4 linked regions of the Caenorhabditis elegans genome follow. The protein of the gene in region 4 interacts with the protein of the main gene of each other region in a pairwise test. Each region holds a gene or a part of one and is shown on either strand. Other genes may lie near its edges.

What was found.
Region 1: the proteins of skp-1 (region 4) and cpr-6 interact in a two-hybrid assay, tested with the Caenorhabditis elegans proteins (one study listed by BioGRID).
Region 2: the proteins of skp-1 (region 4) and rack-1 interact in a two-hybrid assay, tested with the Caenorhabditis elegans proteins (one study listed by BioGRID).
Region 3: the proteins of skp-1 (region 4) and smex-1 interact in a two-hybrid assay, tested with the Caenorhabditis elegans proteins (one study listed by BioGRID).

What each region holds. Positions count from the first base shown.
Region 1 is NC_003284.9:6,605,328-6,609,601, forward strand, and holds cpr-6 (Cathepsin B-like cysteine proteinase 6), read left to right. Parts: upstream 1-1,879; 5' UTR 1,880-1,924; coding exon 1,925-1,927; intron 1,928-1,976; coding exon 1,977-2,052; intron 2,053-2,099; coding exon 2,100-2,194; intron 2,195-2,237; coding exon 2,238-2,333; intron 2,334-2,526; coding exon 2,527-2,868; intron 2,869-2,922; coding exon 2,923-3,195; intron 3,196-3,242; coding exon 3,243-3,460; intron 3,461-3,606; coding exon 3,607-3,643; 3' UTR 3,644-3,718; downstream 3,719-4,274.
Region 2 is NC_003282.8:10,175,062-10,178,422, forward strand, and holds rack-1 (Small ribosomal subunit protein RACK1), read left to right. Parts: upstream 1-1,618; 5' UTR 1,619-1,648; coding exon 1,649-1,763; intron 1,764-1,811; coding exon 1,812-1,995; intron 1,996-2,038; coding exon 2,039-2,186; intron 2,187-2,238; coding exon 2,239-2,769; 3' UTR 2,770-2,814; downstream 2,815-3,361. Other genes in the region: mspn-1 (Mitochondrial sorting homolog), read left to right, coding at 2,909-3,043, 3,087-3,207, 3,253-3,361.
Region 3 is NC_003283.11:8,293,210-8,297,606, forward strand, and holds smex-1 (LITAF domain-containing protein), read right to left. Parts: upstream 2,758-4,397; 5' UTR 1,672-2,757; coding exon 1,535-1,671; intron 1,405-1,534; coding exon 1,280-1,404; intron 805-1,279; coding exon 635-804; 3' UTR 545-634; downstream 1-544. Other genes in the region: srg-33 (Serpentine receptor class gamma-33), read left to right, coding at 1-130, 182-307; W02D7.4 (aralkylamine N-acetyltransferase), read right to left, coding at 3,393-3,524, 3,569-3,646, 3,693-3,780, 3,824-3,896, 3,941-4,145, 4,191-4,313.
Region 4 is NC_003283.11:11,643,601-11,650,647, forward strand, and holds skp-1 (mammalian SKIP (Ski interacting protein) homolog), read left to right. Parts: upstream 1-1,880; 5' UTR 1,881-1,897; coding exon 1,898-1,917; intron 1,918-1,962; coding exon 1,963-2,119; intron 2,120-2,164; coding exon 2,165-3,250; intron 3,251-3,299; coding exon 3,300-3,396; intron 3,397-4,178; coding exon 4,179-4,306; intron 4,307-6,254; coding exon 6,255-6,374; 3' UTR 6,375-6,490; downstream 6,491-7,047. Other genes in the region: Chromosomal passenger complex protein bir-1, read left to right, coding at 1,163-1,285, 1,330-1,674; Transcription factor zip-10, read right to left, coding at 6,603-6,911, 6,963-7,047.

The sequences.
Region 1 (4,274 bases), on a different chromosome or scaffold from region 4:
TAAAATCCTCACGATGGCTGAAAAAGTTTTTTGTGTTTGAATTTTTCGAGTTGTTTTTAGGCTTAGGTAGTAATGTTTCCTGATTTACCAAGATGTTAGGGAGCTATTTGATATTATCATACATTTTTGTTACATCTAAGTACATGAACACAACGTAGCTCAAAAACCAGAAGAGATACAGGAAAGTGGTCAACTGAAGAAAAGTAGCTCTTAATATGTTTTTTTAGTTTTTTAATGTTTGATTTTTTCTAATTTACGAGTTTCTTGAGAAAGCCCCGTTCAAAATTCAAAAATAACATTTTCGAGCATTTTTTGGCATTATGAACAGAGTACCATTAACATGCGACAAACAAGACTACAAAGTTTCTGAAAGACATTTAAAAAAAATTACTTTCAAGAGATTTATGAATTTTCAAAGTTTGGAAAATCCATCTATTTTTGCCTATAAATGGTAGTTTTCATTAAATAATAAAATACGCACTAAAAGGTAGGGCTGAAAATGTACTATTTCTGTAACTACGTGAAGCTTCTTGTACCTACTGGAATTTTGTTAATATATTCTGAAAGAGCTTAAAATTTACTACAAAGTTTCTGAAAGACATTTCAAAAAAAATTACTTTCAAGAGATTTATGAATTTTCAAAATTTGGAAAATCCATCTATTTTTGCCTATTAATGGTAGTTTTCATTAAATAATAAAATACGCACTAAAAGGTAGCTTACCGTATTTCCTCTATTAGTTAGGCATCTCTATTAGTTTTGCACCTCCATTAGTCTTGCATCTAAAATCACTAATCGAAAATTAGTTTTGAACCCTCTATTAGTTTTGCACCTTTAATAGTTTTGCACCCCTTCATTTGTTCCCTAATTTTAGGAATTCAAAATTTGCATTAAAAATCGTTCTAAAAATTAGGAAAACTCTTACAGACTTGGTATAACAAGTCAAAATTGGCAAAATAGGAGTACACCCCGCTGATATGCTCTCAAAAAATTAAATTTTGAATTCCCTCTAAAATGTGTTCAAAAAATTAAATTTTGAATTCCCTCTAAAATGTTTTTTAAAAATTAAATTTTGAATTCCCTCCAAATTGTTATCAAAAAATAAAAATTTGAATTTCCCGCCAAAACTTATGTGTCTCACCACGATGAGTCTAGCAACGACGGGTCTCACAACGATGGGAATCATCTCGAACACCAATCATACTGATAAAGTCATATAACAGGCACCGCCACGTGTGATGACTTAGCAAGACAGGTCCCGAGTCGGACTCCCAACCGCAAATTATGACGTCGCGTGCCAGGCTCTCCCAGAACTGGTGACGATATGTGACAGCCGCGCACCCATGTCATAGAGTAACCAACAGTAGCCTACTGTCGAAAGTATCTTTGAAAAACGTTATCTTTGTTATAATATTTAATATTTGTTAAAAACGATAATTTTGAAGGCTGATTTTTAGTTAAATTATGAAATATTTCTCCCAATAACTATACTCGTTTGATACATCATTTTTACTGTTCAATGTTATTTTTTCAACTGAAACTATAATGTTGGGTGCCATTTTTATCGGTGTCATTCACTGATTTTAAACTGACATCTGACTTTTTATTAGGTTTTTCCATCATATAACCCTTTCAAACGAAATTAATGTGCTAAATCTGTTAAGTTTCAATATTTTCCTTGTCTTTAGGTCAATCTTCTTTGCCACACAGTTCAAACTACTACCGCCGAGTCACGTCACACCATCACAGGATAGTGACCGGTCCTAGGATGTACCCTGACACTGTGATGGACGCAGCCGACACTCTTATCGAAATGCACAGGGCCAAATTTGATAACGAAAACATGTTCTATAAAAGCATGCTGATAAAAGCGAGCAGTCAAGCGACGACAACTTGCGATCAACACGCTGACCGTCGACGCCAACATGGTAGGCTTTTGAACTTTGAAGTAATTTTTAGAGAAAATTTGAATTCTAGAAGACGTTGCTCTTCCTTTCCTGCATAGTGGTAGCAGCTTATTGCGCATGCAATGATAACCTTGAGTCCGTTTTGGGTAGGTTGGATATTGATGAAGCTTTCTGAAAATTTCAATTTATTAAGACAAATATCGCAATCGTGAAATTGACTCAGAAGCAGCTGAGCTTGACGGAGATGACTTGATCGACTATGTCAATGAAAACCAAAATCTTTGGACGGTAAACTTATACTCACAAAATATTCATCTAATGGATTTTTCAGGCTAAGAAACAAAGACGTTTTTCATCGGTCTACGGAGAGAACGACAAGGCGAAATGGGGATTGATGGGTGTCAACCATGTCAGACTTTCTGTTAAGGTATGCACATCAAATTTGAATTCGGTTATTTGAAAACGTCAATTGTTTTGATTGATAGACGGCTTATCACAAAATAGAAGAGAATCAGACTGAAACATCAGGTGATCAAGTTATAGATAGTGATCTTATATTCAAACAGTGCCTATCACTTCACTCACGTGCTCAACCATTCCACCCAAACAGCACTTTTCAGGGCAAACAACACTTGTCCAAGACCAAGGATCTCGATTTGGACATTCCAGAAAGCTTTGATTCTCGTGACAATTGGCCAAAATGCGATTCCATCAAGGTCATCAGAGACCAGTCAAGCTGTGGATCCTGCTGGGCTTTCGGAGCCGTTGAGGCAATGTCTGATCGTATTTGCATTGCTTCCCATGGAGAACTTCAAGTTACACTTTCCGCTGATGATCTTCTCAGTTGCTGCAAAAGCTGTGGATTCGGATGTAACGGAGGAGATCCATTGGCTGCCTGGCGCTACTGGGTGAAGGATGGAATCGTTACTGGATCAAACTACACCGCTAACAATGGGTGCAAGGTACAAATAGTACAAGAATAAAAAGATTTCAAACTAGAACCTAACCTTTTTCAGCCATACCCATTCCCACCATGTGAGCATCACTCGAAGAAAACCCACTTCGATCCATGTCCACACGATTTGTACCCAACTCCAAAATGTGAAAAGAAGTGCGTTTCTGATTACACTGACAAGACTTACTCCGAGGACAAATTCTTTGGCGCCAGCGCGTACGGAGTCAAGGATGACGTTGAAGCCATCCAGAAAGAATTGATGACTCACGGACCCCTTGAGATCGCTTTCGAGGTTTACGAGGATTTCTTGAACTATGACGGTGGAGTCTATGTTGTGAGTTGTACTGTTATTTGACATAAAAACCTGAAAAAAAAATTCAGCACACCGGAGGAAAGCTCGGAGGAGGACACGCCGTCAAGCTTATCGGATGGGGTATTGACGATGGAATCCCATACTGGACAGTTGCCAACTCTTGGAACACCGACTGGGGAGAGGATGGATTCTTCCGTATCCTGAGAGGAGTTGATGAGTGTGGAATTGAATCTGGAGTTGTTGGAGGAATTCCAAAGCTCAATAGTCTTACCTCAAGACTTCACAGGTGAACTTTTCAGCTATATTGCACGTGACATCTAAAAAAAATATGATGTGATTTCGTTTCATGACTCCCATGCCAATGCCCAATTTCCTAAACGGAAACCTACTTTTTATCTACTTAACTACTAAACCAACTTTTTTATGTTTCAGACACCACCGCCGCCACGTCTACGATGACAACTACTGAACCATCATTCCATTTGAACAAAACCTTTATTTCTTTTAAATTTCTATATGTATAAAAATGAATGAGTTAATCAATATTTGCATTATAGAATGTTTCTAGAAGAAGTTCGTGGCCGATAGAACTTTAACTGAAATCCTAACAACACACTAAATCATTTGTAATTCTGCGCTCAGTTCCGATTGTGTCAAATGTTTTGCAAAGTTTTCGTGCTGTTGTTCTCTCCGGCAATATCTTTTTTCTTTCTAGAAACTTTTTTCAATTCTATATATTTAGAATTTTTGCCAACTTTCAGTTATTTAGCTGTAATCGATCAAGAAGCGACCGGGGGAAAACATTGTGGATCAAGTCTCCAAAACATATGGGGAAGAATATGAGAGGGAAGATTGGATTGATTCCTCTATGCGGATGAGAAATTTGATATGCACCATGGGCAACCAACGGGCGACGGATTATGATAATCCGAAAGGAATTAATAAATTGTTTTGTCGGGGCGTCGAATGAAGCCGGATAAAATATGAAATACACCGTTTGGCACAAAGTGAGTGTGGCGGCGGATTGAGTGTTCCCGGATTGCTCATATGCCTGCCTGCCGTTACTCTCGTTTTCCACTTATCTCCCCTCATTTCGTTTT
Region 2 (3,361 bases), on a different chromosome or scaffold from region 4:
TAATGATGTCGTCGTGTGCCGATAACAACGTCTAATCTCTATTACTATCAGAGGTTGATTATAAACAATCAGGGGCACTAGACACAGGAAAGAAAAGGATGCAAAAGTTGTGAAGAAGGGAATCAAAGTCTGAGGGGGGGGGGGGCGATTAAACGGGCGGATAGTGAATGCGGCGGCCGCACACACACATAGGGACGGGCATTTGGAGGAATGTGACTAGGAACAACACAGAGGCGAAGAGGACAAGAAATAAATCGGACAGTCTGTGTAGAGGCAAGAAATTGGAGGAGGAAAAGGCGAGGGACGGTGCGGAAAAGCACCGCCAAACCACTGCGAACCGATCAATAATACAACGGAAGGTGCTGCGAAGAAATAAGAGAGGAACGGAAAGTTGAGACGCAGGTTGATTGGGTTAAAGATTGCACTGATTGCAGAGAAGACAGAGAATCGAGTGAAGATTGGCTCAGGAAAGAGTTGATTGTTGACATTCCCATTGGAAAAAAACAGATATCGAAAAAATGTCTAGGAGCAAAAAAATATTTTTCATTATGGGAATTGTTGTGATGTTATTGCTATTGCAAGGTTCTGTTGTTGTATTGAAAGTCAGCTAAAAAATGGGGAATTATTGAAAATATATTGTATTCAAAAATTCTTCAAAATAAAAATGACTTTTTTGAATGAAAAAAAAACTTTAAAATAGTGATGTTGGCATATCAACGTAAAATTTAAGATGAGAAGGTATTAAACATTATAAGGAAACAACTCGAAGATTTTCAAGCACATACCAAAGTTTTCACGGACAATTGGCCAATTTCTACAAGAAGTCAACATTTTTGTCGCTTCGTCAATTTGAAACCCATAAAAGCATGACTAAGCTGACAGGAATTCCACGAAAAAGCAATAGATATGCGCAAAGAACTAGTCTCGTCAGATTTTTCTGGCAATATCTCATGCAGTAATCTTAATATGTCTTGCACACATGCAACCCCGGATGCTGAAATGTTAAACTTTAAAATTCGAGCTCGACACGATGAATTTGAATGGATGGAGAATAATTAGAACTAAACCCACATTACATTGATTTTAATGTAAAAACTAAAGTATTTTTGCTTTTAAATGAGAAAATAATAATTTTTCGAAGAAATCAAACCAGTTTTCAGAAATATTAATTTTAAGGCTCAAATAAATGGCTCGCTAAACTCGAAAACAACTGTCACAATAAAAGCTAAACATAAATAATTGAATAAATAAATAAGTAAATTTAAAAAAGTGTCAAAAACTGCTTCATAGATGCAAATTTACAAGAAAAAGTTAATTTGTTCCGTAAATTCGTTAGTTGGCAAAGTGCCAGGTTAAAGGCGCATAGACTTTCGCTGTGGGGTCTCGCAGCGACTCACCCCTTCTCCTCTGCTGCTGGCTGGCTAGTTTGACGCGAATTTTTAGGACGATTTTTCCTTTTTTCTGTATTTTTCTGTTAAAGCAATGATTTTTTCAACATTTTCAACATTTAATAATTAAAGTGGCTATGTTTTTAACATAATTCGAACAAAATTATGGTTTTCGTTCGCTCTATTCTCCAAAATTTTCATTTTTTTATATGGAACATTTTTATTTTTAGCAGATCGAACGGGGTTACACAGATAGCAAAATGGTCCAAGAGCAAATGAAGCTTACCGGAACCCTCGAGGGTCACACCGGATGGGTTACCCAAATCGCCACCTACACCCGCAACGACAAGACCACTGTCCTGTCATCTTCCCGCGGTAAGTCAATTAATATAACGTTTTCAAATTTATACTCACATTTTTCAGACAAGACTATCCTTGTTTGGGATGTCGACAGCGTTGCTCCAGTCGATGAGGGACCAATCGGTCGCCCAGTTCGTTCGCTCACTGGACATAACCACTTCGTCTCTGACGTTGTCATCTCCTCCGACGGACAATTCGCTCTTTCTGGATCCTGGGACAAGACCCTCCGCCTCTGGGACCTCAACCAGTAAGTAATTCAATAAAAAAACATTGTGCAAACAATTTTATAGGGGAGTGAGCACCCGTCAATTCATCTCCCACACCAAGGATGTTCTCTCTGTTGCCTTCTCTGCTGACAACAGACAAATCGTCTCTGGATCCCGCGACAAGTCCATCAAGCTGTGGAACACTCTTGCCCAGTGCAAGTACACCATCACTGTACGTTTTTTCAAATTCTTTTATAGGAAGATTTATCGAAACTATTGTTTAGGATGATTGCCACACCGATTGGGTTTCCACCGTTCGTTTCTCTCCATCGAACCGCGATCCAGTGATCGTCTCCGCAGGATGGGACAAGGTTGTCAAGGTCTGGAACCTCGGAAACTGCCGTCTGAAGACCAACCACATCGGTCACACCGGATACGTCAACACCGTTACCGTCTCTCCAGATGGTTCCCTCTGTGCTTCCGGAGGCAAAGACGGACAAGCTATGCTTTGGGACCTCAACGAGGGCAAGCACTTGTACACCCTTCCAGGAAACGACGTCATCAACGCCATGTCCTTCTCTCCAAACAGATACTGGCTCTGCGCCGCTGTCGGATCTTCCATCAAGATCTGGGATCTCGAGGACAAGAAGGAGATCGAGGAGCTCAAGCCAGAAATCGCCAGCTCTGGAAGCTCAAGAGGATCCAGCCCACAGTGTATCTCTTTGGCCTGGTCTCAAGACGGACAAACCCTCTTCGCCGGATACACCGATAACATCATCCGAGTGTACCAGGTGTCGATCCGTGCTTCCAACTAATTTGTTACCTGTTAATTCAAAACCCTTCAATAAAATTGTTGATATAATTTTGTATTCAACCATGTCAGATAAATTATTCGCGTTAATCAAGAATATCTAGCAGATGATAAAACAGCAAGGTATACTTGTTATGTTAGAGATGACGGATCGTAATGAGTTGATCGGTGTTGCAATTCGAGTAGTGGCGGCGGCTGCAGTTTCATTTCTATCAGTGCGCTATCTAGTCAAGTACTTGGATCCAAATTATAGTGTGAATGAAGAAAGCAAAAAGAAGGTTTGTAGATTTACAACACTAATTTTGTTTTTTTAATATACAGGTGGCACAGCTGTTTCATGAACTTGGTATCGATCGTCAAATAGAACTCTCAGAGCACGAAATTAGAATCGCCACGCAGTTTGTTGGCGGAGAAGACGTTGGAGCAGATTGGGATGAGATCGGTAGAACAGAAAATTGTTTCGCAAAAAAAAAGAAAAATTTTACAGGTGGCTGCGAAGAACTTGTTGCTGAACTAAAGGATCGCATTATTTTACCCTTGAGATTCGCATCGCAAAGTGGAAGTCATTTATTGTCTCCTCCACGTGGAATTCTTCT
Region 3 (4,397 bases), 3.4 Mb from region 4:
GAATCGACTTGTGGTAAATGACAATAACAAATTCGGTATCTGGTCTCAGATTGCAGTGACTCTTCTTCCTTATATCAGTGATGGGTTGACATTGATTCATCCATGGATGTTTCTTGCTTTCAGCACAAAGGTACTCAAGAAGTATCAATTGAAATTGCATACTTCAACAAATCATTTTCAGGCTCGCCGTTGTTTCATGCTAATGTATTTTCCAAAATATGCGAAGGTTGCCGTTACAGCAACCAATTCTGTCCGCTTTGTAACAGTTAATAAGCGAAGTCAAGTACAGGACGCTGTTCGATTTTAATTTTAAAGTTTATTGGAATAAATTTAATTGTAAAATACCATTACTAATTAAACTATTCATGTTGAATTCTTGAATTCTGCACGACATGGAAAGGCTGATTTAGTCGGCGTTGCTGTTGAGGAGATGATGCTCTATTCTAGAAATTTAAAAATTTGGAGATGCGATCTGTATGCTGGTTTAGTGTGACCTACATTTTTTCGCTTGCTCTGTTGTCATGTCTTTCCACAGTCAAATCAAATTATGAGTGTAAGGTACCATTTATTAAATATTTTTGTGAAATTCTGCCCGATCTCTATCCCAATTTATACATTGAAAAAATGAGACTCTTCAGAACCTCGCGGTTCTATCAATGACAACAATTCGTGGAATCATATAAAAAATTACGAGGAAAATGATAGGCGCAGCGAAAAATACACAAAGGAAGCATCCGGCCAAATAGTTTCGCCGAGACACTGCTGATTTAGTGGGAGTTGCTGAAGAGGAGACGCTGCTCTGTTCTGAAATATTAAATTTTCGAATTTTTTTTTGGAGTATTTCACAAAGTTAGTTTAACAAAGTTATCTAAATTAATTTTGTGTTAATTGAATTGAATTCAAGTATTTTATGTAGGTTACATCATTAGATTCCAAATGAATTCACTTTTCAAAGAGACTTCTTGAAAATTTCTTTAACTCATGGGGATTCAATATTACAACAAACAAGCTAATTCAACTTAAATTATAAACTTTAACAGCTTGTTTCTGTGGCAGCGACTATAAATCAATTTTCTTCGAATTCCTTCCAATTTTGCACATTTTATTAGTTTATTCAGTGATGTTTTATTGACTTCGTTACATTCGCAATCTTTCAGGTACAAAAAAGTTATTTGAAAAAGTTTGCCTACTACTATTTTTACTCATGTTCATTTATGTAGTACACACTTTGTGTCCTGATAAATACGTGTTTAAAATATTTCCGATCAAAATAACTCACTGGATCTCGATGAATAACTTGGTGGTGGGCTGTGTCGTTTTGCATAGTTTGTGTGAAATGGTGGAGCATTTCTATTGAAAAACATTGTCATATCCGGATCGTGAATACCGGGATTAAGGGAAGTACTGAAAAAGTTATTCATTATTAAAATATTTGAATTCGATCAAAGATTTCAGAGTTTGCTCAACTGACTGGACTTACTTTAATACGATTTGTTTTTGTTTAAATCTTGAAATACAATTATTGCTAACTTACTTATACATTTCTGGAATTTCATTTTCCAGATCAATTGATGTATATTTTGGCAGTGGGGCTTTTGATGTCGACCTAACCGATTGTGGTTGGGCAGGTGGCCCCGGCGAATCGTTGGTGGTCGATGATTCTTGACTCATCGATGAAGGTCGAAGTGGCAGCTTAATGTTTACGAAAGTAGGACGAACCATCAAGTTATTGTTGGGAAAAAATGAAAGAGTTGAGACACGATGTGATGTCGATTGAGAACGAAGAAAATTGGTGGGAACGCGATGGAAGAATATGACGAAGAAAAGAGACGAAAAAGAGAAGCGAATCGGTGATAACAATGAAAATGGCTGTATGGGATGTGTTTATAGCGTCCATTTTCACTGCTTTTGTGCCCATCGTTTTAAATGTTTTTCACAGGGAAAACTACGGGAATTTCAATTCTATTGAAAAGTGCAACATGAAAAATAATTGCATAATAGACGTATAAAAAACTGCCGAAAATATGTTTTACATAAAATCTAAACCGAACTAGAAAATTAAATTTGAAGTGATTAATTACTAATATATGAAATTTAAATATTATTTCCGAGTGTGTTCTTTTATTCCTCAATTTAAAAGGTTTTTATGAGAATTGAAAGTATTGTCAAAGCTGTTTTGCTATATTTTTTGATAATTTAATTTGAATTTTCAGAAAACAAAACATATGGAATTTATACTCGCAGAAAAATTTTAGCAGAACACATTAGAGCATTGGAAATGAAAAAAAACCAAATAGTCGGAATGAAAATCCATAAAAAGCGTGGGACATCTTTAGATCTACAAAAGGTACTATGCCTATGATGCCAGTTATTCTGTATTATATTGATGGGATTATGCAGATTTTAACTCTAAGATCTTTTTTTTAACATGCTAATAGGAATTTAAATGGGCAAGACATGGTCTTTTGACAAACATTTGTAACATGAGTATAATCAAGAGAAAAGATAACGGATTAGTTTTAGAACGAAACATTCCCACAAATTAGAATGAGTATGTACTCATTCTAATGTATACCATGAATTTGAAAAACAGCCAGTCCAACAGGCTTAATCCTCCTAGCCTTTCACAAAACTCGAACAACGTTTTTGTGTCTTTCTCTTTTTTTCTCCCTCTACTTCCCCAATTCGCACTCCCAACATGAGAATAGTATGGATTTAGTAGAAGCGGAGAGAATTGAAAGCGGCTGATCAAACCAAAATCCCTCTCTGAATATTGTTCATATTGTTCATCACAACTCTATCCCTCTATTGTTGACGGTGTGCTGAATGTGATGACACTGTTGCGTGTGCAATATGAGGAAAACTTTCGAAAAAAAAATCGGGAAATATGATGACAGGATTTACGGAAAAGGAAAGGGAACAGATTGTACATATCGAGAGTGAAGTGGTAGTACTAACAAGTTATGAGATGATCCAGATCTTGACCTATTTTGGGATACAGAAATGTAAATAAGAACTTTTAAAGAACAACTATAAGTTTAGTAACACATGGTTATGTTTATATATGGTGAATAATAAATATTCGTATTTGGAGTTAAAAAATATCTCACTTAAATACTATACGAGTTTACCCCAAGAGCAGTACTGTAAGAATACTGGAATTCGTTTTTTGGAAACATCATATCACAGAGCTCGAACAAAAGATTTCTAGTAACATTATGAAGGATAAATAAGAATCAATTTAATTTTTGGCAGGTGTTTATTTCAGTATATGATGGAAATTCGGTTATGTAGCTTACTATTCTATTGACACTCATTTAATATCGTATTATGTATTTCACCAAAAAATAAACGTGCCTAAACATTTATTAAGTCTATTTTCATTTGAATTCTTATTCTGGCAAGTTCTCGTACTCCTCAATTGGTTTGAAGTTCAGGCAAAGAGAAGTTGTACCATCATCCAACTTCAAAACTTGATTTCCTTTTGAATCAACAATTGTCGAATATGGCAACTCTTTGAGGCACTATAAATTACTTTTAATTTCTGGAAAAGTGTGACTTTCCCTACCTTAAAACCAGCTTTTTCGAGAACAATTTGATTGGCAAGTGATGTGGTCTCCGAGAGAACTCCACCAATGTTATATTTCTAAATTAATCAATCCATTTATCAAACATTAAAGAAACATACATACTTTCAAGTTACGTTTTGTCATGTTAGTAGTAACCATTTTGGTAGCAATTCCAAGTCGAGTGAACTGAGGAGCTACGCTTCCAATTTCTCTGGAAACAGCAATTTTATTTTTAAAAAAAGTCCCGAGGATACCTGTGAATAATGGAATTGACGTTTGGTGGAGCAATTTTCCAAAAGTTCAAATGAGCCTTGTTCAAAAATTGGACTGAAAGCAACAAATTAAACTTATTATCTGGATCGACGGCTCACTAAAAAGTTTGAAATTCTCCGGAAGACCTGTATCATCAAAATCAGCATTCTCAAGTGGATCAGTACGATTCCAAACAGAAGCCAAAAGACAAGCAGCCAAATCACCATTTTCTTGGAGGACAACTGTTGAGAAAGGTGTAGTGAGACAGCGGGTTACGGTAGCTGTGAAAACGCCACGAGATATTTCTGGGGAGATTTTTAGCGCCTGAACAAGTGATCGGAATAATTAACTAGAAAATTGTGAACAAACTCTTGAACATGGCTCCTCCTTTGCAAAATGTTTATCCAGAAACTTAATAATTCGTTCATGATCCTTCGGTTGTGCGACACGGAAAAGAAGTGGAGAATTTCGAAGAACTTTGGATAACATCATATTGTTATATTGAGTTGTTCAAAAGAACAAAAAGAACGAAGTGGTATCGATAATATTGCTTGTTGTGTTGGAAACATAAAGTGA
Region 4 (7,047 bases):
AAGAATCTAAACTGTTCAAGTTAAAAATTGATTTTCGATTATTTTTGAGATTACTCATTAATTAGTAATCATAAATAATATTATTTACCGTATTTCCTCTATTAGTAAGGCATGCAAAACTAATTTTCGGACACCTAATTTGATGCAAAACTAATAGAAGGTGCTAAACTAATTTTCGAACAGGTTTTTTCTCATGTTTTCCATTAAGTTATGACATAATATCATCAATTTCAATAACAACTTATGAACCAAAATGGACGAATTTTACGACTGATACGCAAAAATTGTCCGAATTGTACTCATATTTTGCCAATTTTGACTTGTTATACCAAGTCTGTAAGAGTTTTCCTAATTTTTAGAACGATTTTATAATGCAAATTTTAAATTCCTAAAAATAGGGAACAAATGGAGGGGTGCAAAACTATTAGAGGTGCAAAACTAATAGAGCGTGCAAAACTAATTTTCGATTAGTGATTTTAGATGCAAAACTAATGGAGGTGCAAAACTAATAGAGGTGCCTAACTATTTAATAGAGGAAATACGGTAAATTTCAGTTTTAGCCAGTTGAGAGAGGTTGAGCCGCAGGCTCGATCGACACCGTCCGGTTAAAAAGTTAATAGAATCTTTTTCCATTGAATCAAAGTTATTGTTAATTTGTTTAGTTTTCAACAAACTCATTGAGTTTCCTGTCTTCTTGGAGGTTTTGGTACGCGCGCACGTGCGCTCTACTGACCAATGGCCGTGGCCTAGCTTTCTTGGTGGCTGTATATTTCAGCGCGAAATTCGTCAGTGCGACGCGAGCTACATTTATTGATTTTTCAACATTTTATTCGATAAATGTTTTCTGAGATTTGTTTTTCATTTATATTTAAATACACACTGAAAAAATAAAACCACGTGGCGTGGATGCGCGAATTTCATGAAATTAAACTTCATTTTCGAAATCTATTAAAATACGCCACGAAGTTTTATTATTTTCAATGTAAGTCTCGTTTTATCTTTTCCTTTTATCAATCGATTTCAACGCTTTCAACTTATTTTTTTGGAATTGTGGTTTTTAGTTCAAATCTTCTTAACTGTATTTCGAATTTTTAATCTCTACCTGTTCGAAATAGATTCCTCAAGATTAAGATACCTAGTTGTTTTTCATTGATTTCAGAAAATGGCACCCGGGACCAAAAAAAAGTCGGATATGGCAAAATTCACATTCTACAAAGATCGCTTGATGACATTCAAAAATTTCGAATATGATAGAGACCCGGATGCAAAATGCACGTCTCAAGCGGTTTGTCCATTTTCGTGTTTTAAATAAAATTATTCTTGTTTTAGGTTGCTCAAGCCGGATTTTACTGCACCGGTCCTCAGTCTGGCAAATGTGCATTTTGCAACAAGGAACTTGATTTTGACCCAGAAGACGATCCGTGGTACGAGCACACGAAACGTGATGAACCGTGCGAGTTTGTACGGATTGGAAAGCTCGATGACTCGGAATTAACTATTAACGATACCGTTCGTCTCTCACAAACCGCCATGATTATGACTAAACTCTTTGAGCATGAGATGATGATAAATAATTTGTCTAATCATTCTTCTTCTGATGCTCTCTTCGATCAGCTGAAAAAAGTACCGAACACAGCATCGACAACAAAATCTAACAGCCGCCGCGGCAAATAATTTTTCTACATCACTTACTGCAACTTATCCAATTATTGATTTGATCTCATATACTCGATTTAATCACTGTTCAATAAACACTTAATTCATTATTTTATTATTCATTCAATGTTTTTGTTTTGAAATTATAACTTGTGTTTCATCGGCACTACAATATCTTCCAGTTTTGTATTTGATTCTTTTTTTGTCTAAAAAAACAATTTCAGGACAGTATTTCATCAGGATGTCGATGAAACTACGAGAGTGAGTGTATTTCACTGATTATCATGTAAAACCAATGTTTTTTAGTATCCTTCCTGCTCCTGTGGCGGCAGACGAAGCAGCTTCACAGATTCGACGAGATCCTTGGTTTGGTGGGCGCGATAACGAACCATCCGCCGCACTCGTATCGAAGGAACCACCGCCGTACGGAAAACGGACCAGTTTTCGACCAAGAGGGCCTGAAGTGAGATTGAAAATATTAATATTCTTCTTAATTTTTCTTTTCCAGGATTTTGGCGATGGCGGAGCGTTCCCTGAAATTCACGTTGCTCAGTTTCCTCTCGGATTAGGTCTTGGAGATATGAGAGGAAAGCCAGAAAATACGCTCGCCTTGCAATATGGAACTGATGGAAAGTTACAACACGATGCTATTGCTCGTATCGGACATGTTAAGGATAAAGTTGTCTACTCCAAGCTTAATGATATGAAAGCCAAGACGTGGAACGAGGATGATGATGATATTCAGAAACCAGACGATGACGCTGTTATCGATGCTACGGAGAAGACAAGAATGGCTTTGGAAAAAATCGTAAATTCAAAAGTAGCCTCAGCACTTCCTGTTCGTCATGCCGACAAGTTAGCACCTGCTCAATATATCAGATACACTCCAAGTCAGCAGAATGGAGCTGCTGGATCACAACAGCGCATCATCAGAATGGTTGAAGAACAAAAAGATCCGATGGAACCACCAAAGTTCAAAATCAATCAGAAGATTCCTAGAGCACCACCATCTCCACCGGCACCAGTCATGCATTCTCCTCCAAGAAAAATGACAGCTAAAGATCAAAACGATTGGAAGATTCCACCATGTATTTCAAATTGGAAAAATCCAAAAGGATTCACAGTTGGGTTGGACAAACGATTGGCTGCTGATGGACGTGGTCTCCAACAGACTCATATTAATGAAAACTTTGCGAAGCTTGCTGATGCTTTGTACATTGCTGATAGAAAAGCTCGTGAAGAGGTTGAGACACGTGCTCAGCTTGAAAGACGCGTTGCTCAAAATAAGAAGTCTGAGCAAGAGGCTAAAATGGCAGAAGCCGCAGCAAAAGCCCGCCAGGAAAGATCAGCGATGCGGAGAAAGGACGATGAAGATGATGAACAAGTCAAAGTTCGCGAAGAAATTCGACGTGATCGTCTCGACGATATCAGGAAAGAAAGAAATATTGCTCGTTCACGACCAGATAAAGCTGACAAGCTTCGCAAAGAGCGTGAAAGAGATATTTCGGAGAAAATTGTGCTTGGTTTGCCGGACACGAATCAGAAACGAACTGGCGAACCACAGTTCGATCAAAGATTGTTTGATAAAACCCAGGTTTCAGTTCCTTCTTCGATAAAATTTAACTAATATATTTATTTTTCAGGGACTCGACAGTGGAGCAATGGACGATGATACTTACAATCCTTATGATGCTGCGTGGCGTGGCGGTGACAGTGTTCAACAGCACGTTTATCGACCGAGTTAGTTTTTCTTGCTTATTTTCAAATATAAATTAAAATTAGTAACGGGTCTAGGTATTTTGAATGTATATATATATATATACCCACAATGCTCTAAAATGAACGAATTTCATAATGAAACGTTCCAGAAGTTTTTCAAAAAAAAAGTTTTATGGCGTTTTAAAATTTCAAAAAAAAACATTATTTTAGCTGAAATCTTATTTTGGCAGTTTATCTTATGCTATTCTAAGGTACATTTAAAATCGAAAGGTTACCGAAATTGATTACCTATGTTTGCTTAAAAAGTACCTCAATTGACGATATTACGTGATATTAAAATTTAAAAAAAGATTATAATTCAAAAAAAATCATTTTTGAACCTCTGCGACACGAAAAATTCGCCAAAATTGATTCATTTTTTCTAAATTTCGAACCGCCATAAAAATCTAAACGTTCAAAAATAACTAGAACCGTTAGTTCTTTAATATTTCAAAATTGAAATGATTTCCTAATGTATGTCTGAACTGAGGAATTTGTGACATTCTAAAATTTATTGTTTTTCTAATTCATTGGTGTTGGAATTCACAAAACTCTTTGATGATACTGATGTATTTGACTTTCATGTCCGTTCTGGTTCATTTGTCGTTAAAAATAGAATCACAACTTAGGTGCCTAGTATTTGATAAGACGTTTGTAGTACTGCAGTCATTACGATTAAAATGACGTTATGCAAATACGAATTTCGAAAATAATTGTATTTTTGTCAAAACAGGAAGAAATGACGATTTATAAAACTTTTGCAGGCAAAAATCTCGACAACGATGTTTATGGTGGCGATTTGGACAAGATCATCGAACAGAAGAATCGGTTTGTAGCTGATAAAGGATTTTCAGGAGCAGAGGGCTCGAGTCGTGGATCTGGACCTGTTCAGGTTAGTCAGTTGATCTGTTGTCAGAAATTTTAACTACGTTACTAAAATAGCTGGGAATTTTGAGAATTTGGGCGCTGGCTCGTTGTTGATGAGCGTCAAAAATTGACTGATAAGTAACGACGAATTGAACCAATTCGTTGATTTGTGCGGTCATTATCATAAATGGATCATTAATTTACGTCATTCCGAAAAGACACGCACAGCAGTGTGTTTTGGAAGTAGAAAAGATTCTTTACATTCTTGGTTTATGAGCTTCAATTGTCGTGCGTAATATGTTTGACATTATTGATAAAATAAGATTAAAATAATTAAAATATGTCAAAGTTCAGTTTTCATCCATTCTCTTTATGGTCGAAATGAACTATTGATGTATTTTAACTCACGATTAATTTGATTGTAAAAGTTAACCAATTTTAGATATTCTAATTAGAGTTATAATAAATAATTATGGATTCATCAATATTGTAGTTTTATACAATGCTCAGAGCTTATTGAACAAAAACTAATTATATCTTTTCTATCATAGCCGATTAGCTTTTCTTTTTACTTAAGTTCGGGATGCAGATTCTCTTCAGTTTAACACATAAAATGTATTAAATTACTTTACTGTTTCTAGTCACATTTCGAGCTGAACGATCAGCATTTTATCGAGTTGTGTCTACGGAGGCTGGTGTTTGCGAGCATCTTTCATAACCCAATCACTATCAGTACTTACGAAATATCACGTCTTATCACCAACAAGCCAGAAGCATTAGAACCAACATGTGATTTACTCTAAAAGTTGAAATGACTGAAATACTAGACAGAACTAGAGCGGTGTTGACTATATTTCGGTCTATTTTTAGGAAATGATAACTTTTTGCTCCGAATATACGTGTAAATGAAACAGCTCAAATCAAAATTTCACTCTCAAAGTGGCATTGTAGTTAAAAATACGTATTGCATTTTTTAACAAAAAAATCTTAGTTTTAGTTTTCGCTTATTATGAAAGTGGACGAAATAAACAGTTGTCCTCCCAGTTTTTATAGTATTTATTCGTATTTGGAAATTCTAGGGATCGAACCTGTAGAAATAATCGAAATTTATCAAAAAATTGAAATTTTTGAAAAATTTGGCATTTACTATATTGAAAACACCAATTTTTCAAATGTTTAAACCATGTTCATAGTTTAGATTTGAACAGGAAACGTATTTTTTTTCCGGAATTGTTTGCAGCGAACTCGGGGAGCTGGGTAAACTTTTTCGGCGAAATGGTGTTAATTGTAGACTAACATCTAAACTGAGTGATAAGCAGTAAGCGGATAAGCCAACGATCATCCGTGTCGATTTATAAATTGGTTCAAGCAGCGTTCAAAGGGCAAAACATTAGATGATGATGATGACAGAAAATACGATTTTCATGCCATTTTAAGAATGACAATGATAATTCTAGTATATTTCATGACAATATTTCCGAATCGTGATTGTGCATGGCATAGTTTCGAAATTTCTTACAAAGTTTATTATAAACTTATCAAGAAAATGATGACGATGCGGAATCGTCTAGAATTACAGGACAGACACGATGGCGGCCGATTTGGCATGTTTGCGTGTGACGATCGAATTGTTGCAGAACGCGTAGAAAATGCTATAATCTGGTCAAAGTGCATTTGATTCCAACGAAATAGTTTATACGCATTGAGTTTAACTGTGAATCGAACGTTATTGAAATTTAGAAAATTCCATCTGCGAAATTGAGTGTGTGGACCCGTAGTATTCAGAAATATATGTATTTACTGAATTATTTTTTTGAAACCTAATTTCTAAAGATTTCATAAGGAAATTGCATAAAAGATGCTCTTAAAATGACTGTGACTACTTCTAAAATTTACTTATCAATGAGTCATAAAACATTAAATGTCACTGTGCATTTATGAATCACTACAAAATGTTAACCTTTTTATTTCAGTTCGAGAAGGATCAAGATGTTTTCGGATTGTCATCACTTTTCGAGCACACCAAAGAAAAGAAACGAGGTGGGGATGGTGGAGACTCCCGTGGAGAATCAAAGAGGTCTCGACGCGACTAATTTTAATATATTTTTTATTTGTTTTCTGTTATTTTTTCTCAACTTCTTTTTTGGAAAGAATCTCTGTAACTCTTCTGTAGTTGGATGTTTGCACAAAGATGAATCAAAACCGTGTCAATTTTTATTAATAACATTTCGAAAGAAGACCAAATTATGTCAGCAAAGAATGAGCGAATTTGAAAAATTATGGCAAAGAGGATTCGGGAGAGGGGAATATTGAAGATGTTCTTAGGAATGGTTGATTTGATTATTGAGTTGCAAAATACTGATCAAGAAATCTTTTTGAGCATTTTCTTGTTGAAGACCACTAACTGCTTGCCGGAGAGCTTTTACTTCCAACTCGAGTTGCTCCTTCTCATCATGAAGACTTTTCACATTCTCCACCTTTTGGCGCATTTGAGCACGGTACTGGCGAGCATAAAGACGGCGATGACGCTTCTTTTGACTGTGAGCATCTTGTCCATCTGCAATTTCTTGTTGTGGTCGACCACGACGGATTTTACCAGGAGCAGCAGAACTTTCAGTTGAAGAGCATCTCTGAAAATACAAATAATATTACAAGATTTTGAGAAAATATGATATGCTTACCGAGCTGGATGTGGTAGATGTTCCCAAAGAAGCAGAACTTTCAAATGGCAAAACAGGCAGATTGATGCTGAATTGAGCAAGCATT